2 linked regions of the Mus musculus genome follow. The protein of the gene in region 2 purifies or fractionates together with the protein of the main gene of each other region. This does not show direct contact. Links are inferred from orthologs where the notes say so. Each region holds a gene or a part of one and is shown on either strand. Other genes may lie near its edges.

Evidence for each region. The genes of interacting proteins can lie anywhere in the genome.
Region 1: the proteins of Ndufa4 (region 2) and Ndufa9 fractionate together in Homo sapiens (co-fractionation; 3 studies listed by BioGRID and IntAct, with this or other methods). This does not show direct contact. The link is inferred for Mus musculus from reciprocal best matches to the Homo sapiens genes COXFA4 and NDUFA9.

The regions. Positions count from the first base shown.
Region 1 is NC_000072.6:126,820,767-126,825,558, reverse strand, and holds the end of Ndufa9 (NADH dehydrogenase [ubiquinone] 1 alpha subcomplex subunit 9, mitochondrial precursor), read left to right. Parts: intron 1-380; exon of another isoform or gene 381-556; coding exon 557-623; exon of another isoform or gene 624-662; intron 663-3,065; exon of another isoform or gene 3,066-3,369; coding exon 3,370-3,540; 3' UTR 3,541-3,696; downstream 3,697-4,792. UniProt on the Homo sapiens protein: Accessory subunit of the mitochondrial membrane respiratory chain NADH dehydrogenase (Complex I), that is believed not to be involved in catalysis. Required for proper complex I assembly.
Region 2 is NC_000072.6:11,903,971-11,908,912, forward strand, and holds the start of Ndufa4 (cytochrome c oxidase subunit NDUFA4), read right to left. Parts: upstream 3,481-4,942; 5' UTR 3,396-3,480; coding exon 3,354-3,395; intron 2,139-3,353; coding exon 2,050-2,138; intron 1,293-2,049; coding exon 1,232-1,292; intron 1-1,231. UniProt on the Homo sapiens protein: Component of the cytochrome c oxidase, the last enzyme in the mitochondrial electron transport chain which drives oxidative phosphorylation.

The DNA.
Region 1 (4,792 bases), about 110 Mb from region 2:
CTAGAACTGTTACAGAGCAATCAGGCTAGGTGATTCTTGGCCTCTTATCCAAAGAGTTCCAGGACAGCCAGGGCTATACAGAGAAACCCTGTCTCGAAAAACAAAAAAACAAACAAACAAACAAAAAAGAATCAATCTTTTTTACAAAGCTTTAGGTGGAGGGCTGTGACAGTGCTGCACAGTGGTTGAGTCCTTGCCTAGCTCTGTGAGGTCTATAGTTTTTCCTAGCATCTTCCCCTCTCCCCAAAGCTGTAGCTGATAGGCATGGCGGCACATGCTAGCTTTTGAGAGGCAGAAGGATTAGGAGTTCAAAGTCACTATCAGCCACCTAGTGACTTGAGTCGCTGATTTAAAAATCCAGGAAAAGGAGGCAGGGAGGGTGAGTTAGATCTGTCTCCACAACAGGTAGTAGAGCCAGGAAGTTGTTATTTTCTCAGAAAACAATGACAAACTTAGCAAGTTCTCGCTTACAGCAGCCCCTCTTTTCCTGGGGGTCCAGTAGGCTGAAACCCAGCCCAGACGCCTCTCACACACGCCGTATGTACTTCCATTGCAGCTGGATTGGCAAACTCTTTGGGCTGAGTCCATTTGAGCCCTGGACGACGAAGGACAAGGTGGAGCGGGTAAGTCTTGGCATAGCAAGCCTCTCACCAGGCAGAGCGCTGTGGAGGAGGAGAAGTCAGATCAGTTTGGCTGGCTTGGATAGTTGCGGGGCTTCTATGTGTGGTGAAGTCCTCCTGGCTGAGGCTAGCCCTTCTGTTCTGCTTTTGGCTCACACATACTCATACTGTTTCACCGTCTTAGTATAGTCTCCCTGTGAGGTCATCCTTGTCAGCATTCAAACATGCATAATAGCCCCCACGCCCTTTCCTTTCTGAAGGCCACACTCTCCTTCCCAGGTCCCTCTGGCCATTTTGCTATTTGTTGTGTTCCCTTACAACTTATTCTGGGTTCTGTTGTTGTTTTAAGACAGGGTCTCTAGGCCAGGCTGGCTACAAACCCACTCTATAGGCGAGGTGCCTTGGATTCCTAGCCTGTCTGCCTCTGCTTCTAAGTGCTGGGACTGCAGGTGTATGCTACCATGCCTGGTTTTCCCTTCAGAAGCTGATCCCAGGAGATTCTTGCGTCATTCTTTGTTTAATCCATTTCAATCTCATTGTATCCTCCTCTGTCCTGAAACTGTGCTTTCCAAGGCCACCCATGACCCCACGCTGCCACCTCTCAGACAGTTTTCTGATCTCACCTCGCTCCTGCTGTGAGCAGCATTTGTTGAGGGGCCACATTTCTTCCTTTTGAAATGGTGTCTTAGCACCTTTGCCTGGCCCAGGCTTTGTTCTCTGCCTTTCCCTTCTCACACTGAGCTGTGCTGGAGGCCCTGTTCCTGCTGCCCTCTCCTCCTGGTTGCTGTCTGTCCTGACGGGGTCACAGCCTCAGCCGTTCTCACTTCTGTTTATAAATTACATTCATCCCAGTTGCCAGCTGCTACTGCTGGAGGCCGTGCTGCCATCGCACCCATATTGAATTGTTTTATGTGGAACTACGCAGACATAGTAACGTTGTAAATGGAACTACAAGCTGATTTTTTTTTCTTTAGATCTTACCAGGTGCTTTCTGCTTTATTTTGAGATGGGGTCTCGCTGTGTTCACTGTGCAGCCCAGGCTGACTGGGAACGTATGCTGACCTTTACTCCGCCTCTCCCATGCAGGGACCAGAGACCTGTGCTGTTTCTTGCTGTTGCAAGCTTGTGTTCTGTCCTTGAACTCTCGCCTCAGTGACGGCCCTTTCTGTGCTGTCCGTGTTAAGACATGGAGTGATCCCCTGCAGTTTTGGTTCCTAAGCCATCATTGCCCCACCCTGCAGTGCTCAGGGTGCTCTGCGTCTGTCCCAGCACATTGCCAGGAGCCGTGTGCGATGGGAAGGACTTGATATATGGCTACCATGACTGCAGACATCAGATTTGAGCTATATGTAATTTTGGTTCACTGAAAGTGAGATTTGAATTATGCTTGACTAAATGGCTTCTGTGTTAGATGATCAAGGGACAGCAGCCCTCAGCAGATGCCAGGTCGGGTCACTCCTCATTCCTGCCTTCCTGTTCATCATTAGGAACATGCTTCTAGTAATATTGGAACTTTGCTACATACTAAAGGCAGAGCGCATAACTATCTCTCCTCTGCCTGCTGTTACCCAGGCAACAGTCCTCTTTCCTCTCTCAGTGAGCCTCTTGCTGCCAATCTTGTCTGCCTGCAGTATGCCGAGTCTAAAGCCCTGGCTCTTCCTTCTCAAGTCTTGTCTGACTCATTGATTATCTGCTTCCTGCATACTCAAATCTCACTGGGAAGATGCCAAGTAAGCACATGACAGCATCTCAGCCTGAGAACTGTAGATTTTCTTTCTGTTGGTGAGATGCAGCCAAACCATCCCCTAAGAGCCGAAGCATAGCAAAGAATTGCTACCAGTCCCAGGGAACAGCATCCCTCTGATAGACTGCCTTAAAAGCAGACACATCTCCATGGTGTCCTTTCCGTGGCCGTGAGCCCCGTTGTCGGACACTTGCTCTTACCTTGGCAACTGAGAAAGTATGAATATAATAGACAGACAGGCTCTGGGTTTGGCTTGCAGAATGCCCTAGAGCAGGCAGTAAACACACTGGGGTCCTCTCTGCGTTGCTCTTTGTGGAGGTCACAGGATGGGACCTGCTTGAGGTCCATGCACAGAGGAATCTGCTTTGGTGCTTTGTGATGCACGGGGCTGCCTTGTTCATCCTTCCTTAAACAAGACTGGTTTGGCTTCAGGCTTTGTGGTGAGCATAGTTGAGTATAATTGGAGCAAAAAAGGCTAATGGGTCTAGGCATGATGTTATAACTGCAGTCCCAACACTTGGGAGGCTGAGACAGAAGCAGTACTACAAGTTTGAGGTCAGCCTGGGCTACATAGTGGGTTCCTAGGAGTTCCAGTGTGAGACACTGTGTCAGAATCCCTAAACCAGACCAAAAAGTTAAAACTGAAATAGCTATAGCCCAGCGATCCAGCATAAGAAAATGGGGGTGCAGAGGTCTCCTACCTTAGCTCTTATCTGAATCTCTAGGTGGAGAGATAGCTCCTGCCACGTTCACTAGGCTCAGCTCTGCGCACATGTGCCTGTGGGGCTGCTCTTTCAGGGTCTCTGTCCTGTGGTTCTGGGGTATGGGAGACCTGCCTCAGGCCTTTGATGATGATTTCTTATTTGTTCTGCTTTTGTGAGTTCCAGAATCAAAGATTGTTGTGGGGTCTCTGACGACCCTTGCCTCAGTGATGAGCCTCAGGCCAGCTTGGGGGTCTGAGGGGTGGCACTCTGTCTCAGCATTCTCTGTGTCTCTTTGTCACAGATACATATCTCAGACGTGATGCCGACCGACCTGCCTGGCCTGGAAGATCTTGGTGTTCAGCCCACACCACTGGAGCTCAAGTCCATTGAGGTGCTACGGCGGCATCGTACCTACCGATGGCTGTCTTCTGAGATCGAGGAAACCAAGCCTGCCAAGACAGTCAACTATTAGTGTCACCCAGGTCACCTGTGTGCAGTAAAAGAGTCACTCTATTAAATATCCGAGGATTCGGTCTATTGCAAGTGTCTTTCTTGACTGATCAGAGAGGAACTCACAGCCATTCAGAACTGAGGCTTGTTTTCTATTAAATAACTATATATAATATCGACACACACAACTGTTCTCTGAAATGTTAGAGGGTTTGGAATTCTTATACCAAGGCCCTATCCTCAAAGTGGAAATATTGCTATGATCTCAGGCTGCATGGTTATCTAGAAGCATTTGGTATAAATGAGCACATAGACACCTACAGCTGATCTGAATTCACTCACACTTGAAGTGCTTTAGACTTGATTGTAAGGGTGGCCTGTTGTCATGTGGTGGAACCCATGGTGTGTCATCTCATGGTAGAGAGAGGAAGAGAGGAGAAGGGAGCAGGGAATGCAACCTCGTTTTTTCTTTTATGGAGTGCTGGGCATCGAACCCAGGGCCTTGTACATTTAAGGCAAGCTTCTTAAATATGAGCCACACCCTTCCCCTCAACCTCTTTTGTGACAACAGTGGTCACTCATGATGACAGAAGATGTGGTCACCTAAACCAAGCCAGGGCTTCTACCACACTGGCAGTGAGTATCCATGGGAACTTTGGAGCAAACCAGTAGCTGCTGTTTCTAAAAGGGAGGGAGGGAGGGAAGGAGCGAGGGAGGAAGAGGGAGAAGGAGGGAGGGAAAGAGAGGGAGGGAGGGAGGGACTCCAGGTTTTTGAGTAATAACAGACTAAGAAGTCGAATGACTTTCCGTACATAGCTGATCTGAATCTCACTGTAAAACCTGTGGTTTGTTTCAGGAAACCATGAAGGATGAATGGACAAAGCCTGTCAGGTTTACATCCTAGAAGGTTATGGAGTGCACGGGAGGTGTAGTGGAGCACAAAGTGTATTTGAGGAACCCTTCCCCGAGAAGGAAGAGGTCCAAGAGAGTGAGAGTTGTGGGTTAGGAAGGTGGGGAGCATTTAAGAGAAACAAGTCCAGGCATAGTAAGTGAAGGCTTTTACCTAGAAAGATGCTGCAAGGAAGGAAAGGGGACCCTTTGGGAAAGGAGAGAGGGCAGAGAGAAGACTAGACTGGACACCACTAAAGCAGATGGTTGGGGAGATGCGAGGACGTTTTCAAGTGTGTGAAGCCACCTGGGTTGTGTGCAGGGCTGTCCATGTTTATTCAGAGGACAAATAGATCTGCTCCTGTGTAGCAGGGGAGTGTTTGTAT
Region 2 (4,942 bases):
CTGTGTAGACTTGGCTGGCCTAGAAGTTAGAGATCTGCCTGCCTCTGCCTCCTGAGTGCTGGAATTAAAGCTGTGTGCTGCCATCTCCAGCCAACTCTTAACAATAGGGTCTTAAAACAGCAGCATTCCACCTCCAGGTAACATGGCCTTACATCAGCCTATGTCATCATTTTCCAAAGCACTGGTAACTAGTATAACTATTAGAATCATCTGGTACATTTTCTGAAAAATATTTACACAATATTCCAATATACTTTTTGGTTAAACATCCAAACTCTAGTTCTTTTTTCTCCTTTTTTAAACGTTAGATGCAGATATATCCCTCCCCCGAATAACTGGTACTTAAAATTCCTAAGACAAAATTACAAGTGAGAATATCTGTTTACTGTTTCTTGAGTACATTGTTAAAAATACGTATCAGACATTCTGTTTCAGAGTGGCTAGTAAATTTCCTGTTGTATCTTTAGAGGCAGCAACTTATCTTAAAAGCCAAATTATAGTTGGGGTAAGCAGAAAGTTTTAAGCAAATAAAGAGTAAATCATAAAAGCTGCTATAAATAGTACTAAAGGGCACCTATCTCTACCACAGACACTTCCCCCAGGTGTTAGTCAAAGAAGACTTTGTGTCTCTTCCTGAGTGCTAAGGTAAACAACTACTGGCTGCTTAGAAACAGCTGATAGTATAACATATGGGATACTTTAAATAGATAAATCTGTATGACATGAAATTATATCCAAATATAGCAATATTTTGGTAATGTGAGGGTCTTCATGTAAAAGCATTTACGTATAAAGTCTCATTTGTGAAATCAATATTCTGGGCGAATGAACACATTCTTTCAAAACAAAAACCAAACAAAAAAAAAATAGCTACACAGAGCACTCCTCTGAGAAAATGTTAAAGGTTAACTATGAGGCTCATGGCAAAATTTAATTTCAACTTTCATCTCTTCCTACTAATCCACACCAAAAATACTTGAATCATAGCAAGAAGAAACAGCCAAGCAAAGCACCCAAGAGACCAGAGTTGCCCACACATCAACAGCAGCAGCACCTGAAGATTAGGCAACTCAAACCTTCAGTCCCAGCTAACTCAACGGGGCAGGGGCTCTTCACGTTCAATATAATAAAAACAGGATTTCACTTGCATATCCCATTTCAAGAGAACTACCATATAGCCACATCTGCTACAATATGCTTTCCTGCAATTTTTAACCACTTTGTACCTTACCTTATATTGTTCATTGGGACCCAGTTTGTTCCATGGCTCTGGGTTGTTCTTTCTGTCCCAGCTAAAATGGATAAAATATTGTAATTATTATAGTAATGAAACACTACTTACAATAGTATTTTAAAAATACTTCCTTAGAAGCTAGTACTTTGAATAAGTCAATCTCACTTTTTATTAGGCATTACTTTCATTACAGAGCTAAACAGAAGTAGAGTTTATAGGTAAACAAGCATGTAACTGGTAAAATCACAGAACACCACTCTTTGGGATATCTGTCTACATCCCTGTCTTTATAACAGAAATGTTTGTATTTGGCTTTTATCATTTTCCAACTAAAAAAAAAGACCAGTTTATTGAGGAAAAAGTAGGTTACACTCACATACAACAGGAATCGTGGTTACGTATTTCATAAAAAGCAACTGCTGTCAGGCATGATGGTGCATGCCTTTAATTCCGGCACTAGAGAGGCCAACCTGATTTACACAGTGAGTTCCAGGACGGCCAGATGTATAGTGTGAGGATGCCTCCAGCCATAACATAAACAAGCAAACAAACAACAACAACAAAAAAAACCTCAAGTGCTATCCAACCTTCAAAATGTAAGAGTTGGTATTAGCAATTCTACTTGACCAATATGAAACTACAACTTGGGGAGGCGAGATTGAGATGAGCTCACGAAGCCAGCCAAGTAAAAGTCAGCAGCCCTGGGCTGACTGCAAAGCTACAAACTGTAGTTGTTTCTACTCTGTGACTTCTCCCGTGACTGGGGCCCCCAGCCAGATGATTAGCCATCCAAATATTAAAGCATTTACACTCACCTGACATCTGGATTAAACAGTGCCAAGCGCATCACATACAGTGCTGCTCCAGTACCCCCTGCTCCAATAAATACGAAGAGAGGAATCAACTAGAAACAAATAGACAAAGAAGAGTAGCCATCATCACATCCCTTGATCTTGTCCAAATAAGGGCACACTGGTTCCTTTCTATATAAGCCAACCTCTAAATCTGCTATTTGGCTAATTTGTCCTACAATGGGAATAACGGTTGAACTTGGATTGAAGCAGTGTTTCTTTCAATTGTATTCTAAAGGCATGATCTCTGTAAAAAGACATCAGGATGGTGTTGGCTTAAGAGTCCAACTTCCTTACATGGATTAAATTATATGAACAAATAATCCTATCAAGTACATTCACCTCTGTAAGTCTTGAACAGCATTCCCATTAAATTTCATTGCTTCCCTGGAAGTAACGAGATATACTTCCCTGGTAGGCTGGGAGCGGAATCTCTTCGGGAACTACTGAAAAGTGGCCCTTAAAAGTTCTGTGAGCCAGGCAATGTGGCGTACACCTTTGATCCAGCAACTGGGAAGCAGAGGCAGGCAGATTTCTGAGTTTGAGGCCAGCCTGGTCCACAGAATGAGTTCCAGGACAGCCAGGGCTATACAGAGAAACCCTGTCTCGAAAAACCAAAAGTTCTGTGAACATAATCTCTGTGAAATAAAGAGCATAACTAGCGGACAGAAATGCCTATTAAAAGCACTAGTTTTAGGAATGAACTCTGAAAACAGACTGCAGTTAATTTTGCTGAGTATTTAGAAAACCAGGCTTAAGGCAAAGATGAAGGCCCATCAGTGGGAGTTTTAGGTACACAGCATCCTCTATCGAGCTATACTGGACGAAAGTGACAGGTCAAGAAAACTTAAATCAATTTTGCCAGTGTCAAGTTTTCCAAGCAAAGTGGGGATTACACGATGACGATCCCTTGCACTTCTGAAGGTTTGGTGGTGCAATGCAGTGACTCTAAAAGCCGCAAAGAGCAGCATAACAAACTTGGCCTCTCTTGGATTCTAATCACTCAACGTACCACTCACCCCTCTTGGGACCAAGTAATCTGAGAGCCACAGTGTTCCAACACTCAGAATGTTTACCTTTCTCCCTGATCTCTGCCACCTTCTGCTTCAGGCAACCTCACCTCCACCCCAGGTAGAGGCTTCAAGCAATCAGGTCATCCCAACAACAGAATGTAACCCCAAGGAACAGAGAAAAGAGAACGTCCCCAGGGGACACGGGCAGGAGCAACCACAGCTAAGAGGCCACCCTGGCAAAGACCGTGAACTTACGCTGGGATGCTTCTTGGCTTGCCCGAGGATCTGGCGGAGCATGTTTGCGGCACAGGCCTACCTACACGCAGAGAGAAGATTAGGACACACGCTAAGCCGCTTCTGCAACCTGGCTGAGCGGACGTCCAAAGTCACCCAGGACCTCCTACCTGAAGGACCCCTGGCGCTGAGGGCAGCCTGCAGCAGGAAAGCCCGGATGCGGCTGTCCTCTAAGGTGCCTGAATAGGTAGTCAGCCCTCGCGCGATTGCCCTAAATGTCCCGACCACTTCTTCGCATTTTTGAGTTCATGATCCATCAGTTCTCCACCATGCATCTTTTTGATAGGTTTATTTTTTTATTTTTTGCATAGCAGGCAGAGCGTCTCGACTGGTGAGACAGGCACTTTTCAGGACGGCATGCGTATAGACCAGGGTCATCCGGCGGTCCGCTGGCAGTGCGCTCGGCGGGCGCGGCTTCCTTAGCGGCGCCTCCCGGCCAGGGCCGCGCGTGGACGCGCTTGGGGGCGCGCGTGTGGGGCGCGCGCCGCGCCGCCCGGAGGGCCCCGGAGGGAGCTGCCAGGCGCCTCTGCAGGCTCAGCGCCCAGATCCCGCAGGACAGGTCGAGTCTCCAGCCGCCGGGGTCAACGGCTGCGGTTTAAGACTGCAGCTGCTTCCTGACTTTCACTGGCGCTTAGGGACAGAAGTTGAAACACTAGTAAGTGACTTAAAGCTGGCCATAGTTTCTACAATGTGATTTCTAGATTCTTAGGTCGTGGCACTATTGAAGAGTTGTCGCCCCCCAAAGAAGTTTTGCAACATGCCACCATCTCTTTTTGGTCCAGATATTGAATCCTTAAAAGTATCTTCATTGGCCGTGTTGCTGAACTTAACCTTTTCTACCATCCTAAGTCAATGTTCATTTATCTCTTTGCAAATTTACTTTTACCCAAAAGTTCTTCCTTGGGGCAGGTTTAATGGGCACTTTCGAATCACAGCCAACAATTTGGACTCCCTACACATGTTAAAACGTTTCAAATAATAAGGAGAGGGTTTCGCCGAAACTGCTAAACTGAACAGGTAGCATTAGCCCAGTACAGGCTTCAGGTGGCGGTGTATAAGGAAGACAATTCACATGAAGGCATGAAGCACACAGTCTACCATTTAAAAGGGAAGGCAAAGTAGGAGCCACATCCGAGGCAGGGACCACTTATGCAAGGACTTTATGTTCAGGACTTTCAGAAGTTCACCAATAAGATTATATGGTTGAAAAGAATTCCTTTGGCTATGAAGAATGGAGTAGATAAAAGGGCTATTGTAGTTGTCCATGTGAGAGAATTTTTAGTTGTCCTGGGGGTGGGGAGGAATGTACTGATTGGGGAAAAAAAATCACCAAAAATATCAGAGAAAATTTTGTGGTATCAACAGAACTTGATAGTTGGATGGTTATGGGTGAATGAGTGAAAAAGAATAAAAAAAAAAGAGTAAATCAGAACTTTAGTGGTGAGCAGCTGTGAACATATCCATGCCAATTACTGAAATAATGGATGAGTGTGTATGCAAAACCCACGGTATTTCTCGAGAGCAGAATACTCTAGAATATCTAGAGTAGA